Linked DNA regions of Arabidopsis thaliana. The protein of the gene in region 1 interacts with the protein of each later gene in a biochemical or structural test. Each region holds a gene or a part of one and is shown in the gene's direction. Other genes may lie near its edges.

Region 1 (4,147 bases):
GGGTGTAACCAAGAAAAAGGCTGGCTTGGGCCCTCATGATCGTTTTTCTCTATGACTCATTCTCAAGCTGGGGACAGTTAGGAGAGAACCCTTGGAAAGAAGTGGAAGGTTCGGTTCATCGCAAACGACATCGTTTGAAGAAGACAACACTAGAGTAAGCCTGAAAAAAGTATAGTGTTACTAAAGATTATTTTGTCTCAGAACTGTACCATCAATTTAGTAAGCTTTTTCCTTTTCCTTTCATAAACAGATGATGTTTCAGATAAAATTTAAATATATTATCAGTACAGTAAGATTACATACTATATTAGTATCACTATTCTGCTATTCACTAGATTTCTTTTTCTTTTTCAACAAAATATGAATAAAATAAAGGCAAAAGCGTGTTAAATATAAATTCAATAAGTGACTACTCGTTGGAAGATCATATCTGCTTTGATGGGTCTATTTGTGGGGCAAATCCACTATCCAGTTTTCCTTTTGTGTTCAATGAACTATACAATTGTCAAAAAAAAAAAAACATGAGAATTAAAGAAAATCATCATGACCAATGAAGAGCAGGTCCCAACAATAATTCCGAATTATAGGCTCTGATTGTTATAGCAATCAAACAATATGCTTACAAATCACAAAACAAAATTAACGATATTTCCAAATATAGAGCTTTCCAGTTTGACTTAATAATGTTGTGTGAATATCCTCACATTTCCATTTTCGACTCTCTTTAGTAAATTTTGAAGTAGTAGAATGATGTAGAATGTTTTGTTTTATCAATCACACAGTTTTGTGAAATCACGATTTCCATCCACTATTCAAGAAAAACATCAAGTGGAAGAAATAATAAACCAAAACCATCGCAACAAAATGCATATCACGAGTATAGAATGAACAAACTACACTGTCAAATACTTAATTTAGGACTTAAACTTCGCTTTCAGACAACTTGGTTCGGAAACTTGACCATCCGTCATGTTGATATACACAATCCATCTCAAATGTAGTAGTGAATCACTATATCAGCATGTGTTATCAAACGCAAGTTGTCACTAAGATCGGAGCTTCTAGTTCAAAATGTTGATAAGTATTACGAAAGTACAATTGAATATACCAATTATACATCCAAACACGTCCATGCTTCTCCACTCGAGTTCTCTTTGGAAATCTATATAATCCGTCGGTTTGGTATTTTACTAGTTGTACGTAGTGTCTCCCCTCATATGTATTGAGTCTTTATAGTTTGTTGCCTCGTATACGATAGAAAGTAAAGGCTAAAAAACCATACTATTTCATAAAGGGTTTATTTAGTTAACTTTTAATCTAAACCATGTATCACTCCATTTTACGTATATTCGTTTTCACAAATAATCTACTAAATAATTTTGTAATGTGATAAAATTAAAGAATAAACACATGATACATAAACAGTCAGGACAAAAGTAAGCACTCATTTTCTTCTATTCATACTATAGTGAAACACTATTTTATTTTTATCCATATACTATAGTGACAAATTAATCTAATCATTAAATGTTATGAGGCTCAAAACAATTTGTTTTCTTATTTAACATGGCCGATCCCCTCATAAACCAATCAGATGGTGTGTTTTCCGGTCATACTCGTGTAGGACCCACTTCATTACAATGGCCCCACATGTCTCTCTATCTTTTTCTCCTCTTTATAAAATCAGCTCCTTTTCTTACACAGATTTAGAGAAACACAACATAAAACGTACTTCTTCTTCAAAACGCGAAACCACACTGTAAGTTACGTACACCACCACCTATCCTCACCATTCATCATCGACACGTGGCTGGTTTAACTCAAATCAACGGTGAATTCTTTTTGCTTTTTTATTTTAAATAATGAATGAAAAGATTCTTCTATAATTCCAGCGAAGAAGAAAGAAAAAAAAAAGCGTATTCCTCGTGAGCACTAACTTCTCACTCATTCTTCTTCTTCAGCTGAATCCAAATACCCATTTCCATTTTTAACCGTGGTTGGATTGTTTTGAGAGTTGAAGGAAGAAGATGACGTCTGACGGAGCAACGTCGACGTCAGCTGCAGCTGCAGCAGCAGCGATGGCGACGAGGAGGAAACCGTCGTGGAGAGAGAGGGAGAACAATCGGAGAAGAGAGCGGCGGAGAAGAGCTGTTGCGGCGAAGATTTATACTGGTCTTAGAGCTCAAGGTAACTACAATCTTCCAAAACATTGTGACAACAATGAGGTTCTTAAGGCTCTTTGTTCTGAAGCTGGTTGGGTTGTTGAAGAAGACGGAACTACTTATCGCAAGGTCAGTATCAAACGCATTTTTACTTAGATCTGATGTTATCTGATGATTTAGCTGTTGAATCTGAAGATTTGGATTTGAAATTGGTCAAATTGGGATTTTCTTGGCTATGAATTCGAGGTTTTTAGCTGAGGAAGCTCAGTTTTATTCTAAAATTGGATCGAGATTCCTTGCGGAGAAAGTGACCTTTAGGGTTCTTCTTACTAATTTGAGAACCGAATTAGCTTTACTTTCACTTGGTTACTATATTTAGATCTCTCCTTTAGCTTTTGATTGATTGTGACATTGTGATGTTTTTGGTATTGTTCTATGAGCAACAGGGACACAAGCCTCTACCTGGTGACATGGCTGGATCATCTTCTCGAGCAACTCCTTACTCTTCCCATAACCAAAGTCCTCTTTCTTCCACTTTTGATAGCCCCATCTTATCTTACCAAGTCAGTCCTTCCTCTTCTTCATTCCCGAGTCCTTCTCGAGTTGGTGATCCACACAATATCTCCACAATCTTCCCTTTCCTCAGGAATGGTGGTATTCCTTCATCGCTTCCTCCACTTAGAATCTCAAACAGTGCTCCTGTCACTCCACCAGTGTCATCCCCAACTTCTAGAAACCCCAAACCATTGCCTACTTGGGAATCTTTTACCAAACAATCCATGTCCATGGCTGCTAAACAGTCAATGACTTCTTTGAACTACCCGTTTTATGCGGTGTCTGCACCTGCCAGTCCTACTCATCATCGCCAGTTCCATGCTCCGGCTACTATACCTGAATGTGATGAGTCTGACTCTTCCACTGTTGATTCTGGTCATTGGATAAGCTTTCAAAAGTTTGCACAACAACAGCCATTCTCTGCCTCTATGGTGCCAACCTCGCCTACCTTCAATCTCGTGAAACCTGCACCACAGCAATTGTCTCCAAACACAGCAGCAATCCAAGAGATTGGTCAAAGCTCCGAGTTTAAGTTTGAGAACAGCCAAGTTAAGCCATGGGAAGGGGAGAGGATCCATGATGTGGCTATGGAGGATCTAGAGCTCACGCTTGGAAATGGTAAAGCTCATAGTTGAGATGAAGTATACATGAACCTGTTATGTCATGTCGGAAGGAAGGATTGGAGAATGAGAATTAGTGTGTTGTTCATTCAGTTCATGGTTTTGGTTCTTGTTCTAGAATCGATATTCATTGTACCAGTGAGTTTGTTTCACAACGCATTATTTGTAGATAGAATGTTTAAGATGTATGTTTCTATTATCATTCCTTTTAGGTCTTGAAAACATTACAAATATATTACATGATTAAGTGGCTTGAAATGTAAATTATATATCGGATGATGAAACAGAGAAAAACAAGTGAGGCTAAAACAAAGACTTGGGATGTAATAACAAGATCAGAGAGGTTAAGAAAGAAAAAAAAGACTTGCGATTTTAGCCATAAGATACACAAAAATTCATAATACAAAGAGGAAAGTAGAAGGCATGAAGCAGTAAACATTGGAAAAGGGAGAAATATATTAGAATCACAAATGTCAAGAAACTCGGAAAGTTTTTTTTAGCCTATCTGCTTTTCAGGTGAATCATTCAGAACCATCGGGGAAGCTATCAAGCGCGTCTTGCTTACCGTTAACGTAGAACTCAACGACGGCTTGCATTCTATTGAGCTTATCTGGATGGTAATTCACATGAACAATCACTGGTTTCACTTTCTTCTTCAGTTCATGATTCTTTCTTACAGTCTTGAAAAGGACCTTACTGTTCATAAACTCATACATATCCATGACTCTCTTGGATGCATGTAGCGCAGTGTACTCAGGATGTGAAGGATAAAACAGTTCCTCGTTGAAAACCGCTTGGTCCCACACTTTA
Region 2 (4,093 bases), on another chromosome or scaffold:
ACCCTTAATCACTGCTATTATATACAAGTATAGACTAAATATATATAAGCTAATAGGGGTCTTGAATTTCTCGTCTCAACCTAAGGGGGATCTACGAGCTTTTGGGTCTCGAATTTCTTCTAATCAAAAAACGAAGTAGAAATATATATATTCAATAACAATTTTTTGGTTCGTTTTGTCGTGAGTATTCAAATCCATTAACATTTTCAAATAGAGCTTCTAAATAGATATTTCATGTTTTCGTTTAGAACGCATAATACACTACTAGTTTGAAAAAAAAAATACTTACTAGAAAGATGAATTATTAGTTCATTATATACGGCATATAATTCGAATGTACTATGTTTAACTATTTTTAATTTCGAGTACAGTTAGATCATTAATGAGAAGGAGTTATTTCATTTGAAATCATGCGTATAATGATTACAACGAAGCGAAAATGATGAAGGCGCGTGGTAGGCAATGATAAGATGTCGGCGCGTGAGGAAACAAAATAAAACGCACGGCCGGGTCGAGTGTTTTCGGGTCCCTTGTTGTCACGTGACATGACCCACCTGCCCATGTTCTCTCTTGAGCCCAAAACTATTTGAGACATTTTTTAATCATCTTTCGGCAGTTTTAATTTACTTCTTCTTTTTTTTTTTTGTCAACAATAAAGCAAAATGATTCTGATTAGCAGCACTCAGAATATATCTGATTATAGAACACGATCTGAATACTTAAAAATTCTACAAAATTGATGATAAGGGAAGTATGATGATCTATAATAGTTGAAAGTTTAAGAACATGAAATGAAAATAGAGAAACAGTCAGTGAATATTGGATTCATATGTAATACATATGGGTGTTAGTGTAATGATAGATCCCACATCCCACATGGATATGATTGGATCACAACAGGTGACTGGCCCACAACTTTGAATGAGCTCAGATTCATGTGGATTGTGTTTTGTACCAACCACTTGATTTAGTCCTTTTTTTTTCTTCATTATTTCAACAATTAATTGCCAACTATTTCTTCGATATCTGTTCTCATCCGTGTGTGATCTTGACTGATTGAGTTGTTTTTTTTTTCTTTACAAAGGTCACAAGTTCTTGCACCAATGATTGGAAAAATTTGAGGGTTAAATAAAAATGAAAAGAGAAAATGAACTGAAATATTTACTACCACTTTTAGGTGGAGTAAAAAACTAAAGATGTTCACGTTTATTTCTTTACAGTAGAGTAAATATTTTGTAGCATAACTATTAGATTGGCAATTATTCAACTTACCGTAAATACTAAATAAAATTCACTCTAGTAAGCTCATCCAATAACATCTTTATTTTTTTTTTTTGACATGGTCAAAAAGATTAGCAAGTTACAACTCTTAATAATAATTCTATTAATTTTTTTTTTAATAAAGAACTAATGTCTATATATCTCGAAATGATATCAAATTGGCGCAATAATAAAATTCCTCGGATACTATTAAATCAGAAGCTAAGGCTGCTTATATCTAATATATGCAAGACATAACATGAGTCACTTCATATATATGTGAAGGTATATAATTAAAACTTAGAATCATTATTTAGTTGATTAGGCATATAATTTGATGTACTTATTGTCGCTAAATAAATGTCATAATGGATTTGCACCGCATATTATAGAGTTTCTCTTTTCCTAGTCCAAATTTGCAAGAAATAAAGTAGAGATGGAAAATATGAATTTGCATTTTAAATTTACTTTGGATTCCATACATATATAGAAGTACTTTGAGGTTATGGAAAAAGATAGCAAAAGATAGGACTTACTATACAATTTACTAAAATAGTAAAAGAAGAAGAAGGAAAAGATAAAGAAAAAAAAAAAAGAGAAAGGAGAAGACAAAGAGGGAACAAGTTGGGGATATAATAATTGAGTTTCAAAAGGGCATTAATAGATTATAATTGGCCAACCTGACAACATCTCATATCATTCACTTCCTATATTAATCCTCTCTTTCTCTTTTCATTTCCCATTTCACATCTCTCTCTCTCTATAAGAACCCTAGAAGAAGGTTTCTCTTGTCCTCCATACACTTAGCACAACTGATAAATCTTTTGAGGTAAAATCAGCTTTAGATCAAGGTTTTTCTAGTCATCTCTACTCATAAAGATCAAAGCTTTTGCTATTCTCATTTTCTACCAAGAGACAATATCATGATGATGGGTAAAGAGGATTTGGGTTTAAGTCTTAGCTTGGGATTTGCACAAAACCATCCTCTCCAGCTAAATCTTAAACCCACTTCTTCACCAATGTCCAATCTCCAGATGTTTCCATGGAACCAAACCCTTGTTTCTTCCTCAGGTAAGCTTCTTCTTCAACAAAGTCTTGATAACCTTTTTCCACAAGGAAACAACACAGATCCTGAAATAACCCTTTTTCATTTTTCAGATCAACAAAAGCAACAGTTTCTTAGGAAAATCGACGTGAACAGCTTGCCAACAACGGTGGATTTGGAAGAGGAGACAGGAGTTTCGTCTCCAAACAGTACGATCTCGAGCACAGTGAGTGGAAAGAGGAGGAGTACTGAAAGAGAAGGTACCTCCGGTGGTGGTTGCGGAGATGACCTTGACATCACTCTAGATAGATCTTCCTCACGTGGAACCTCCGATGAAGAGGAAGATTACGGAGGTGAGACTTGTAGGAAGAAGCTTAGACTATCCAAAGATCAATCCGCAGTTCTCGAAGACACTTTCAAAGAGCACAATACTCTCAATCCCGTTAGTCATTCATCCATCTCTCGGAGCGTGAAAGTATTATTGTAAATACTCTGTTTTTAACAAGGGCTTTATTGTAAAACTACAGAAACAGAAGCTGGCTTTGGCTAAGAAGCTAGGTTTAACAGCAAGACAAGTGGAAGTGTGGTTCCAAAACAGAAGAGCAAGGTGAGAGAACTAGAGTGCTCATTATTTTTACATATTAGTTGACCATTTTGCCCCTAAAGAGCAATGTTATTTACAATACAACCCATTTTTGTGCCTAATAGGACAAAGTTAAAGCAGACCGAAGTGGATTGCGAGTATTTGAAAAGATGTGTTGAGAAATTAACGGAAGAGAATCGGCGGCTCGAGAAAGAGGCAGCGGAACTAAGAGCATTAAAGCTTTCACCGCGGTTGTATGGTCAGATGAGTCCACCGACCACACTTTTGATGTGTCCATCGTGTGAACGTGTGGCCGGACCATCCTCATCTAACCACAACCAGCGATCTGTCTCATTGAGTCCATGGCTCCAAATGGCCCATGGGTCAACCTTTGATGTGATGCGTCCTAGGTCTTAACTTTAATGCTGCTTCTATGGGTTGTGTGTGGGTCATTGTACTTTTTAGATTATTGACTCTCAGCTAATGTATCCTTAAAAGCCTTTTTCTACTTTTAAATTTACTTTAATCTAATTAAATTAGTTATTCTTGTCTTCTTGATAACAAACAAATTTATAATAATAAAAAAAAAAACAGGATAAAAAAGAACAGTTTTTCTTTTATTTTTTTTTGATAAACCCAGCTCTTCTTAACCAATAACCATTATACATTCTTGACATAATCATGAAGCCATCTTCATTTTACGTTGACATGATCTTTGTATATGCGACCAGGTTAAGTGCCTCATGAGAAAAGCATAAGTTTTTCTATTTTCAAATTTTTCGAGATCTTTTTCATACCCTTCTTTTTTCTTTTACATAAAAATGATATCTCTAATCATCTAAATACTCTAATAGTTTTTTTCATAAACAAAAGTTGAACCGTCAGGTTATTGAAATTTAGACGGTTTGATATTTCTTCCTACCTAGACAAATCCTAAAGGGACCCAGGAATTGTAGTAAGCGAGCGAGAATCTTGATTTTTTAGAATGCTACAATCTTACTGGGTAATAACTCTTAACAGTGTGCAATTAATGGGCCGAATTTACCGGCCCAAATTATGGTGGTGGTTGTCGTCGTCTATTTCACCAGAGAAAGTGAGAAACACATGCATATTTGATCACACCAGCAACTGACCCCATTTTGTCAGTACTTGGTGAAAGTGAAAGTACTGAAAGCAATTTCTTCTCACACAAGTGATGAACATCA
Region 3 (6,709 bases), on another chromosome or scaffold:
GATGAGATCTCGCATTGATTTACTTCAAATTGGATTAAATATGTAAAAATATGTTTAAGAAATCTTGTGACTCCGCGAATGATTTTCTCCTATACATTATTCTAATTAATTCCATGGATATGTTTTATAATATGCGTAGGAAATTAAAGAAAATATGTTTTGTATTATATAAGTTATTTTGATCTTAATCTTTTGAAGTTGAAACCTACTTGATATGCTTCTTCTTATTTTGTTAACTAACTCAAGTTGAATGATTATTTATTGATTGAATTACGTAAGACGGGAAGAACATGATGTGCCCAACCGAACCACGAATGGTTAAGGATAGGTCGGTTTGTGGCATATCAATAAACAGTTTATGAGACTGAATGGAAACCTTCTTTCTTCGATCGACTAAAACCCTTAGCCTTCCAAGTTTCTAGTCAAGAAGTATTGTTACTAAATTGCCCTTGATGTTAATGTTTTCGAAAATCTATTTATGTTTCTACAGTGTTTCTCTCACGTGAGTTGCAGAGTCAGTTCACGTGGTCCCACTACATCATGAAAACGACGTCACACTAACCTCTTATTCGCCTTTCACTTGAATTGACCATTTCGTTTTTATTTACTTTCCTTGATTTCTTTCTTTCTTCTCATCTAAACGTGTAAAAATCTTAACAATTCCATTTGCTTTTTTGTTTTTGATTTTAATGTATCTAACCAATTACTTGTGCTCTAGAGAAACCGAATCTCGAATAACAATAATACATTTCATCAAAGAACCACGAGATTGCGAGTGATTTTAAATCAATATAATACAATTCATGGGGTTAATATAAAATACAGAGAATAAAGCGTGTTTAAGCACAACCTAACAACTCACGAGACAAAGTGGAAGGCATGTGGGGATGTGTAATTGTTTTTGCTCTTTCCCTATTTTGTACAATTTTTCACTTCATGTGATCCAACACTATTTAGCTATAGTTCCTTTCTCACTATCATCTCCATCTCTGTTTTCAATTTATTATTTCTATCTTCAGATTAAACTCATGACTACTGGAAAGATGTAGTACTCAGAAACTAACTAGATTGTAAGCATTAGGGGAGGGCAATAAATATTACTCGTAAGTAAATTTAATTCTTAACTACTGAAAATCTTAAGTAATTTAATCAAGTATATACGTACTTGCAAAAACTTGAAAGCCATAACTATTTTCGCTTGAATACAAATGGACTAAAGATATTTTATCATTTTATTTTTGGTTTTAAGAGATGACTTTTTTCGAATATATAATTCAAATTATATACAGTACTAGACATATGTTAGTTTAGTAAATGCTAACAAGACTTTTAAAATAAGTACTGTAATTTGTAAGTCGTCTATTTGGTTTACTTATAAGTTAGTGATTTTGTAACAAGTGGCATTCAACTAAATATAAAAATGCGCTTAGCTCACATGATCAGGTTCTTAACTATGGGTTTTAGACAATTTGTTAAAGGCGGAAGAGCTGTCTTTGTTCCACCTAATGTCACATACATTACATATATCTCCACTCACACAAATACATAGACGCATACACGTACGAACAAAATCATACTTGTCCCCCTATATTCCATCATCTATAGCAGAATTTCTACTACTAAATTTACTATTAAATTGGTAATTGTTTGCAGCCAAGCCTAGCTATCAATTAGTAGTACGTATCTTTGTCAAACTTACCAATTACCTTCCAATTTACCAATTAAACAAGTCGTCTAGTTATGCGCATTCAGTACACACGAACATAGACCACGTAATACAGTGGTCTGATTACATTATTTACATGGAGGTTTTTATAAGCATGATTTTCTAAACGGAGACACAAAATCTTCTTTATTTTATTTTTCCTTTTCGCACTGTTCATTTAGGTTTGGTGGTATTAGGCTATAGAAGAATGTACGATGACTTGAATATCAGATACATGAGATTCTTAATTAATCATACATATCTTACCATTTTAATTAGTTAACTGATTTCCTTTTGATTGCATTTACTTCGACGCATGATAGTAGTCGGCGTAATTTCAACAGTACCTTGACACGCCAAAAGCTTCACGTAATTTGCTGTCGAAGAAGGTACGCTTCTTAGCTCAAATCTAATCCATTCGTGTTCTTTAGAGATTTGACTTGGATTCTAGTTTTTGTATCTCCATGTTCATTGGTTGACTTGAATTATGCGAAATTGAGTTGGTTTGAGCTATGAATTCCGCTGAATTATGGTTATTCTCTTGAATTTCTACCCAATTCTGATGACAGATCTATCGATTCCACGAATTTGGTGACTTCTGCCGATTCTCCCGTTTGAATTCTGTGGAATTCGCTGAGAAAAGTTGCGGCGGAGGCTGATTTAGGTTAAATCGAGCAGAATTTGACCAAATTCGAGGATTTTTATCGGTAAAAAGATACAGAGAAAGCATAATTCAGCAACTTCAGAGCTCAATTCCGCTTCTTCAACCATCGAAAACCACAATATCTCTTGAATCAGCTGCTACAAGTCGCAGATCTGAGCTGCTAGCCAATTTTTGCGATAATTCCCGCGCACAGATTAGTAATAGAATAATTTAAAAAGAATTCAAAAACCGTCGAAGCTCTGTCGTTCATGGAGCTTCCTCAACCTCGTCCCTTCAAAACCCAAGGTAAACACCATTATCAGATATTATTGTTACCAATTCCTTTATTTTATTTTAAAACAGAGTGTTTAGTTTCTACAAGATTCATAATTTTAAATTTATGTATTTTTTTGAATTTTGATATATATATTAAGAAGAATTTCGCACAGGGAGAAAACCAACACATGATTTTTTATCGCTCTGCAGTCATTCAACCGTCCACCCAGATCCAAAGCCAACACCACCACCTTCTTCTCAAGGTATTTTTTTTTACCATTTTACCCTTTTTTCTTCTTTAAGATTCTCTTAAAAGGGGTCACGTTTTTTTCGCGCGTGCATCTGATCTGACTTTAAGACGAATCATGGATCAAAATGTTGCTATTTTGTTGGGTCCTAATGGGCCCATCTGTGTTTAAAGCCCATGGAATTTTGGGACCGTTTTTTTCTTTCTTTTTCGTCTACACATGTCGTTAAACCTTGCCTTCGATTAAATAAATATCTTTCAACCCTCATGATGTTGATCCCTAGAATTGCATCACATAAATAACAAAATGTTGTTAATTACTATAAGCGTTTAAATGCATACAACTTGATGTATAAGAAAATGTGTATTATCTAGGGATTTACTTCTCTAACATATAGTTTATGTTTTTAATTTTGATGGTACGTGAAGCAGGTAGTCACTTGAAAACCCATGATTTTCTTCAACCGTTAGAATGTGTTGGTGCTAAAGAAGACGTAAGTAGGATTAACTCTACCACTACAGCGTCCGAGAAGCCACCGCCCCCTGCTCCACCTCCACCGTTGCAGCACGTGCTTCCCGGTGGTATAGGGACTTATACGATTAGCCCCATTCCTTACTTCCATCATCATCATCAGAGAATTCCTAAGCCGGAGTTGTCACCACCAATGATGTTCAATGCTAATGAGAGAAACGTTTTGGATGAGAATTCTAACTCTAATTGCAGCTCGTACGCCGCTGCATCAAGCGGGTTCACTCTGTGGGATGAATCTGCTTCTGGGAAGAAGGGACAGACAAGGAAGGAGAATAGTGTTGGGGAGAGAGTAAACATGAGAGGTAACAAGAAAACTTGAATCGTGATGTTTATTTAGACTAGTTTTAAAGTAGTATTTAGAAATCAATGGAATGATGAAATATAAGTTTTTTTGAATGTGTAGCTGATGTTGCAGCAACTGTGGGACAATGGCCAGTGGCGGAGAGACGGTCCCAGTCTTTGACAAACAACCATATGAGCGGTTTCAGTTCTCTCTCTTCCTCTCAGTTAGTCTCATATCTTCTCTTTTTTATATAACTCGGTCTATGGACTTTAAAGAGTGATCAACTAAAGTTTTACTTTGGTTGCAGAGGGTCTGTGCTTAAGAGCCAGAGCTTCATGGACATGATAAGGTCAGCAAAAGGAAGTTCACAGGAAGATGATTTAGATGATGAAGAAGATTTTATCATGAAGAAAGAAAGCTCCTCGACTAGCCAGAGCCATAGAGGTTTGTATTGTCCGAGATTCCACCTATATGATATCTAAAGTCTAAACAGTAACAGCTTAGGATCTGATTGATTGCTTCTTTACAGTGGATTTGAGGGTAAAAGCAGATGTGAGAGGCTCTCCTAACGATCAAAAGCTGAACACACCTAGGTCTAAACATTCTGCTACAGAGCAACGGAGAAGGAGCAAGATCAATGATAGGTAAGTCCTGAATATGTAGCAAAAGCCACCAGAATTGGTTATATAGCTTAGCAGAGTGGAGATACTAATCAAACATTGTTAATGGATCCCTCTGCAGATTTCAGATGTTGAGACAACTAATACCTAACAGCGACCAAAAGCGGGATAAGGCCTCCTTCTTACTAGAGGTATAACTATACTCTTTTGGCCGAAAATTTTGTGACAGTAAGATTCAATCACATCTGCTCCTAATCTCCAATTTTTTTTTTTGACAACTTCATACAGGTTATCGAGTATATTCAATTCTTACAAGAGAAAGCAGACAAGTATGTGACCTCTTACCAAGGATGGAATCACGAACCTGCGAAGCTATTGAATTGGGTAAATATAATCTCACATTTTCCGACCATACTTCATTTTTATTCCCCGGGTTGGAAACTGAAAACAAACAAACCATGTAATGTTAACCCGTGTGATCCATTTACATTATAGCAGAGTAACAACAACCAACAGCTAGTACCTGAAGGAGTTGCTTTTGCTCCAAAATTGGAAGAAGAGAAAAACAACATTCCGGTTTCGGTCCTTGCAACTGCACAAGGTGTTGTTATTGATCATCCAACAACCGCGACGACCTCTCCATTTCCATTGTCGATTCAAAGCAACAGTTTTTTCTCTCCTGTGATTGCGGGTAATCCCGTACCCCAGTTCCACGCAAGAGTCGCATCATCAGAGGCTGTAGAGCCAAGTCCGAGTTCCCGGAGTCAAAAAGAAGAAGAAGATGAGGAAGTTCTTGAGGGTAACATCAGAATTTCAAGTGTTTACTCACAAGGGTAAAACTAAAAAACTCTCTTTTGAATTTTGATCTTGCAACAGTTAAGTAAAAGTAAAAAATTATTAACCTTTTATACATTTACTTTTGTGTGTGGAGCAGATTAGTGAAAACACTGAGAGAAGCATTGGAGAATTCAGGAGTGGACTTAACGAAAGCAAGCATCTCCGTTGAAATCGAGCTCGCTAAACAATCCTCGTCTTCTTCCTTCAAGGTATCTTTTTCTTTACTTACGTTTGATTCAATTCAAACACATTTTCATGAGTTGGATCTTGATAGTTTATAGTTTTGTTCACATCTCGATAGGATCATGAAGTTCGTGAACCGGTTTCTCGAACCAGAAACGACAATGTCAAGCAAACTCGGAAACCAAAACGGCTCAAGACGGGACAGTAGAAGTTATAAAAACAAAACCCAAACACACAATCCGGTAAAAGTTAAACACCAAAATTGATTCCTCTGTTTTTTTCTTTAAATCATTTTATCTCAAAAAGGGATTATAATTTATTATTATAGTTATATCTTTGATTTTTTTCTTTTGTACATCCGAAATCCTGTTATATATATCTCGTGGGTCCATAATCGTATGAGACCTAAGAAGACTAGGGCGACCCGGTTATGCTAACCGCATTTTAGAACATACTCTTTTGAGGAATATATCGTTAAGGAAGGCTTTCAAAGTTTTCTGGAAGCGTCCAGTGTTAAGTGAAAACATTTTTCACTCTCTTATATACTTGATCATCTCACACTTTTTATATTTGTTTCTTCCTCTTACTTTGTTCTATGGTTTTCAATGTAATACTAGATATCTTTTATGTATTTGACTAAACCAAAGCGCATGAACGATTTTGAAAAAGAAAAAGAGAAACACACTTAATTATAATGCCAATCAAAAGCCTGTATGACCCAACTCTCTAGGACAAAGTCTGGAGCACGGCAAAAAGATTAAATCAAGTGTACTTTAGCAACAAGAGCTATCTTGTACTATTATTTATGCAATGTTGTTAGCAAAATAATCAAATGTTATGTGGGGTATTATAAGATATGCCATTGAAAAATATATCAACTAGCATTTAATTACTTTTATTTAAAATGATGAAAATCATATCTTCTATATATTCAACTTCAATACTTGATTTTCCAAACTATTGAAGTAAACGAGATCCCATATATAATGGGATAAAACAACAAACATCAATTACGTTCTTTTAACCATAATTTATATCCATAAACAACAAACCGCCTGTATTTCCTCGGACACGAAGAGGATTTGACACGGGAAGCTTCGTCTTCTCCCTCCTCGTCGTCGCCTCCAAAACTCAGGAGTTTCTTCTTCAGAGACGCGGTGGTAGCATCTTTTACCGTGGAGTTTCGTCGCCGTCGTTGTCTTTATCAATTATGATCTTTCTCGAACTAGAGCTTTTACAGTTAGGGTTTGAAACTTTGACTGGAATTAGAGCAAACTTTGGTCGTGATTGTAGTATTTTTTTAGTTTGGAATGTTGTTTATTATACTAGATATTAATCTGCAGTATACCGCGGACCTATATTTTTATTAAATAAAAAATAATT
Region 4 (5,358 bases), 4.9 Mb from region 1:
CTAATTGATGATTTCATTTTCATGCGTTTTTTTTTTTTTTGGTTTTGTAATGTCCTTTGAACAAGATTAGTCGATTATTATTTTGTTTCTGAGTCAGAACCATGTGATAAAAAACTACTCGTACGAGAAAGTTCTTCTCCACTTGAACTAACTTCTTCTATCCCCTCCCCCACCAAAGATAAATGTCTCAAAAACGCATCGTTACAGGCGCTTGGATATGTTAAGAGTTCTTGTAGATAAAAAAACAATAGTTACTCTTTCCCATGGTGATAAAAATTTATAGGATGGATATGATTTTATACTGTGTTTTGATTTTACAACCGAGAGATTTGGACAGATTCTTCCTCTGCCGTTTAAACATTCTTTTAGGGATACTTGGACTCTATCTTCTGTTAAAGAAGAGAAACTTGCAGTCGCAGTGTTATACTGGAAAAATACATGTGTGATGATAGAGATATGGATGACAATTAAGATTGATCCTAATGTCGAGTCGTGGAGCAAATTCTTAAGAGTTGATAGGAAACCATGCATTGATCTTCGCTTTGATGATCGTAATGACAGTTTTTTCATTGACGAAGAGAAGAAAGTTGTCGTGTTTTTTAGTTCAGACAAAGTTAAAACCTCTACGGCTTACGTCATTGGAGATAATAGATATTTGAGAACAGTGGATCTTGAAAAAGCTGCAAACTCCCAAGAATCTGTGGAGGTCGGAGAACGCGTGTATTGTTTTTCGCCGCTTGTGTGCTCTTGCTCTTATTATGTTCCAAGTTTGGTGAAAATCAACCACAATGCAGGACGCAAAAGGAAAGAGAAGAAGACGAAGCGCAAAAGTAAAGACAAGCAGATGAAACTAAGCAACAAGGTGTAACACTAGCAATGCTTATATCTTTCTTGCATTTCATTTTGATTTTTTTTTCTTCTTTTCTTTTGCAATGTTCTCTAAACAAAACTAGTCAATATTCGATCTTTATTTTGTTTCTGTTTAGTTCTCTTAATATAGGAACCTGGATTTTGCTTTCCACAATGCTATGTATTAATTAGTTCCAACACTTGGTATAGAGACAACGACCATGACTGTTTCTCGAATAGGGGCTTAAACCGTTCAAGATAATTATATGACGGAAGGTTCCTAGATATGTTAGAATCATGACGAGTACGAGGACTTTGAACACTTGTATAATGTAGATGAATGAGTCAATAGAGAGACAAAATATGCGGGATTCAAAATGTTTTTTTTTTTATAAATCCTCGGTCCATGTATACAGAGCAACATCCTCAAATATATGTTGTAATGCACCAATTTAAGACGTTAAGCTAATGCAATCAAGATTCATACTTGAATTCAAATTCGTTAACATCAATCTTAGGCACCAAGCCCTCTTATGCTTTAGAAAGCATATATGCCATTCAAAGTTTGATATCGATTTAACCATTTTTGATGTATAGATTATAAACATCCCCAAACCATCAATATTTATTTGTAGTCGGTTCAAACGACAAGTAAAAGTTAGTCACAACTCACAACTCCTCTCACAAGTAATTGATCTAATGTTTTGTCTCTTTTGACTAGAGACAGTTGACTTTGTTAACACGAAGTCAATAGTCAATACTAATTAATTGCTGTTACTCAGAGAATTGATGACGTGGCGAGATCTAAACTGTTAAAATAATTCTTCAATCGTGACCGTCGAATATTCCATAGTAGCCCGATCCCAAATTCTTCCTTCCCTTCCCTTCCCTCCTCTTCGCCTCTCACAACAACTCGAAGATCAAAGAATTCGTAAATTATCTCTTTCGAATCATTTTCTGGAAGCTGAGAAGAAATGGGTTTCGAGGATGATCCGTAAATTCTAATCCTTTCTCTTCGATTTCATATTTTTAGCTTCGTTGTGCAGATAAAAATCCCACCTTTGATTGAATCTAGGGTTACCAAAATCGATCTCTTTTCAATTTCCCAAATTTCGATTTCGTTTTTGTGAAAAGAGAGTGTTTTGATTCATGGGCAGATTCAATCTCCTATTGATTTGAATCCTTTGTGTTTCAGATTCATAAGATTTTGTATTTTTTTTTTCCAGGTACCGTGATGTAGATGGAGAGCCAATAGTGGACTTTGATGATTTTGGGAATGATCGCGAGCCATCTACAGAGCCACTTCAGGATTTTGATGAAGATCTGGCTGATGATATTGGAGATTGGGATGGTGAAGGATCACAAACGCCTGTTTATGATAATGATAAAGTAGCTAAACCAAGGAAGAGATTGGTGAAGAAATCTTCTAGTGAACGTGTGACTATTGATGTTCCGGAATTGATTGATGAGGATGTGGATGATGCTGAGTTTGATGAGTTTATGGGAGGAAGAGGTGGTGGTAGTACTGATTATGATGATAAGGTTGGTAGGAAGAGGAAGAAGGAGAAAGAGAGAAGTAGTAGTGGTAGTGGGAAGGAGAAGAGGCATAAGTTTCCGAATCGTGGCGAAAGGAAGTCAGAAGAGATTGATGAGATGTGGAAATCTATTGCTCATAACCCAGAGGTGCAGTAGATTGACTATAGTTATAAGATTGCCTGAGAGAGAATTTTGTTTTTTCGACTTATAAAAGTGTTTCGTTTCTGTTGTAGAATGATGAAGAAGGTGTTAGGACTATGGATGATGATAATTTCATTGACGATACTGGTTTGGATCCTTCTGAGAGGTATGGAGGTGACGCTGGAGACCGTTCTCCAACTCATTATCCTCAGGTATGAGTAGTGTATCTTCAATTTTGATCTTTGAGTCTAGCTTTTGTTTGTTGATACAAAATGCTTTTGTTATGAATAAACAGGCAGAAGAGGGTGAGGATGAAGATGAGGTAAATAACCTTTTCAAAATGGGGAAGAAAAAGAAAAAGACTGAAAGAAATCCTGCGGAAATTGCGCTTTTGGTTGAGAATGTGATGGCTGAGCTTGAGGTTACTGCTGAGGAAGATGCAGAACTTAATAGACAGGGGAAGCCTGCTATCAACAAGCTTAAGAAACTTTCGCTTCTTACCGATGTACTTGGAAAGTAAGTTGCTAACTTACTGTTATCTTATACTGTTTCTTTCTAACAATCTGTTTTGTAATACGTTTATTTTTCGTTATCCAGGAAGCAGCTTCAAACAGAATTCCTGGACCATGGAGTTTTAACCCTGTTGAAGAATTGGCTTGAGCCTCTTCCAGATGGAAGCTTGCCAAATATAAACATCCGTGCAGCTATTCTAAGAGTTCTTACTGATGTATGCTCTTGTTTTCCTGTTGAGGGTTTTTCCGTGATTTTGAGCCTTTTTAGCTGCTTTACCAATTACTGAGTCTGTCTTGCAGTTTCCGATTGACTTGGACCAGTATGATAGAAGGGAGCAATTGAAAAAGAGTGGGCTTGGAAAGGTTAGGATACATTACCTGATTCAAATTGACAAGAATCGGTATGTAGGATTTATACTCAGGAACTTAAATTTGTTCTGGCTTTGGCAGGTCATTATGTTCTTATCAAAGTCCGACGAGGAAACTAATTCCAACAGACGACTTGCTAAGGATTTGGTTGATAAATGGGTAATCATCTTTTTCAAGAGCTCCAATCCCTCGAATCAAATTCCAGCCAGTTACTTACTGTATACTTGATGATGCAGTCTCGTCCAATTTTCAACAAGAGTACTAGGTTTGAGGACATGAGAAATCTCGATGAAGATAGGGTTCCCTATAGAAGACCACCAGTGAAGAAGTATTTCCCGAAACCTTTATTTTTTTTATTTTACTCGCTTTCACATTTCATATACTGATTCATAGCTTCTCTTCTTGTTCTACTGGGGATAGACCTAGCAACAAAGCGACAATGGAGTCCAGAGATGGTGACTTTGACTTGGAAATTCGGTATGGAAAAAATCTTCCAAATTTGTAGATATATGAACTTCTAAAAGTTATGTTTTAACATTACTCATTGTTTGTTGAAAAATATGCAGGGAACGTAAAACTGGTCTGACTTCGGGTCAGAGTTCAAGGGGAGACAGGCAAATGACGATGAGGCCGGAAGCAACCCCATTGGACTTTTTGATCCGTCCTCAATCCAAGATTGATCCAGATGAGATCATAGCCCGTGCAAAACAGGTTTCTCAGGACCAGCGTCGGGTCAAGGTAAAAAGACTTCTACCGTTTATCTTTTTTTCACTGACAAACAAAACACCATCTAAGTACTGATTTGGTATGGTAAATACAAGTGAAATCCTTTTCAAGAAAGCCTTGTACTGGCTCAAAATCTGAGACCTTTTTGTGACAGTATATAAACAAAAACCCTTTGTTGCTCTTTCTTTTCTCTAATAGTCCTTGAGCTGGTTCTTTTGTGTTATAACTGCAGATGAACAAGAAACTTCAGCAGCTAAAAGGAACAAAGAAGAAGCGGCTACAAGCTACGAAAGTGAGCGTTGAAGGTCGGGGTATGATCAAGTACCTCTAGAGAGGTTACAACCAGACCATACCATCCATCCACATTGAAATTGGTTCCTTCTATCGTGTTAATCTTCCAACTTTGCTTGGATCAGTGTTTAAAGGTCTTTCAGGTGAAGTCGAAGACTTAAAGGCATTGGGGTTATACGTATATGTACTCTTCTATATATGCTTTGCTTTGAGCCTCTAATGTAATGGGAAGTGAAAACACTTTGTTCGTCACTTCTTTCTTCAGAGCATAAAATATTATGATAATCAATTTTCAGTGAGTTTTCAATAAACACTTTGTCCTCTTTCTTTGAGATTCATCTTTCTGCTATATTGTTTGTTAGAAAATAAAGCAATGACACTAAATAACTCAAAATTGGCTCGTTATTTGCAGACACAAAGACTACTTTTATGTGTGTTTCACAAGTTTTGGTTGCTTGAAACGGAAACGCCTCCAAATGCAGATGAAGAAAAAAAGACTATTACTTTATTTCTTTCTGAAATTCAGAAACAAAGAAGAAGAGGAAAACAAAATCCTAATTTCTACTTACTAAATCTCTCATCTACTTACTCCAAATCTTGAAGCTGCAAAAACATATGAACCCACAACGCAAACAAGAACAGCAAGAACCAATGAAAAGAGCTGAAAATTAGCCAGAAACTCTCCTGAGACTTCTGAATCAACTGATCTGCAAACTACAGAGTTTTGTTTTAAACTGCAGCCTTGAGGCATCATAGGGCCATACAGAGTGAAAGCTGTCTGATAAAACCAGAGGCCTTGAAGAGTCATTGCAATGCCATTGCATAGATCTACTGGGAAGCTTGTAGGGCAGATTGCTCCAGCGATTGAGGAGATGACGCAGAGACCGATGAGAAAGACGAGGAGGAGATGGTAATAACCTTCAAGACCTTTGTG

The links.
Region 2: the proteins of BES1 (region 1) and HAT1 form a complex in vitro, tested with the Arabidopsis thaliana proteins (one study listed by BioGRID).
Region 3: the proteins of BES1 (region 1) and BIM1 form a complex in vitro, tested with the Arabidopsis thaliana proteins (one study listed by BioGRID).
Region 4: the proteins of BES1 (region 1) and IWS1 form a complex in vitro, tested with the Arabidopsis thaliana proteins (one study listed by BioGRID).

The regions. Positions count from the first base shown.
Region 1 is NC_003070.9:6,686,814-6,690,960, forward strand, and holds BES1 (Brassinosteroid signaling positive regulator (BZR1) family protein), read left to right. Parts: upstream 1-1,721; 5' UTR 1,722-1,866; coding exon 1,867-1,925; exon of another isoform or gene 1,926-2,020; coding exon 2,021-2,291; intron 2,292-2,608; coding exon 2,609-3,352; 3' UTR 3,353-3,598; downstream 3,599-4,147. Other genes in the region: RRA3 (Nucleotide-diphospho-sugar transferase family protein), read right to left, coding at 3,859-4,147. UniProt on the Arabidopsis thaliana protein: Positive regulator of brassinosteroid (BR) signaling. Transcription factor that activates target gene expression by binding specifically to the DNA sequence 5'-CANNTG-3'(E box) through its N-terminal domain.
Region 2 is NC_003075.7:9,737,679-9,741,771, forward strand, and holds HAT1 (Homeobox-leucine zipper protein 4 (HB-4) / HD-ZIP protein), read left to right. Parts: upstream 1-1,839; 5' UTR 1,840-2,183; coding exon 2,184-2,331; intron 2,332-2,418; coding exon 2,419-2,747; intron 2,748-2,832; coding exon 2,833-2,912; intron 2,913-3,013; coding exon 3,014-3,305; 3' UTR 3,306-3,556; downstream 3,557-4,093. UniProt on the Arabidopsis thaliana protein: Probable transcription factor.
Region 3 is NC_003076.8:2,605,480-2,612,188, reverse strand, and holds BIM1 (basic helix-loop-helix (bHLH) DNA-binding superfamily protein), read left to right. Parts: upstream 1-1,938; 5' UTR 1,939-2,094; exon of another isoform or gene 2,095-2,274; 5' UTR 2,275-2,617; coding exon 2,618-2,654; intron 2,655-2,785; coding exon 2,786-2,887; intron 2,888-3,303; coding exon 3,304-3,705; intron 3,706-3,806; coding exon 3,807-3,909; intron 3,910-3,993; coding exon 3,994-4,130; intron 4,131-4,215; coding exon 4,216-4,330; intron 4,331-4,427; coding exon 4,428-4,497; intron 4,498-4,594; coding exon 4,595-4,690; intron 4,691-4,801; coding exon 4,802-5,139; intron 5,140-5,240; coding exon 5,241-5,352; intron 5,353-5,444; coding exon 5,445-5,534; 3' UTR 5,535-6,171; downstream 6,172-6,709. UniProt on the Arabidopsis thaliana protein: Positive brassinosteroid-signaling protein. Transcription factor that bind specifically to the DNA sequence 5'-CANNTG-3'(E box). Can bind individually to the promoter as a homodimer or synergistically as a heterodimer with BZR2/BES1.
Region 4 is NC_003070.9:11,558,252-11,563,609, reverse strand, and holds IWS1 (Transcription elongation factor (TFIIS) family protein), read left to right. Parts: upstream 1-1,710; 5' UTR 1,711-1,823; coding exon 1,824-1,843; intron 1,844-2,075; coding exon 2,076-2,532; intron 2,533-2,618; coding exon 2,619-2,738; intron 2,739-2,821; coding exon 2,822-3,042; intron 3,043-3,123; coding exon 3,124-3,253; intron 3,254-3,338; coding exon 3,339-3,401; intron 3,402-3,488; coding exon 3,489-3,566; intron 3,567-3,643; coding exon 3,644-3,735; intron 3,736-3,827; coding exon 3,828-3,884; intron 3,885-3,973; coding exon 3,974-4,145; intron 4,146-4,365; coding exon 4,366-4,464; 3' UTR 4,465-4,855; downstream 4,856-5,358. Other genes in the region: AT1G32140 (F-box family protein), read left to right, coding at 284-868; AT1G32127 (plant viral-response family protein), read right to left, coding at 5,002-5,358. UniProt on the Arabidopsis thaliana protein: Transcription factor involved in RNA polymerase II (RNAPII) transcription regulation. Involved in transcription elongation. May function at post-recruitment and elongation steps of transcription.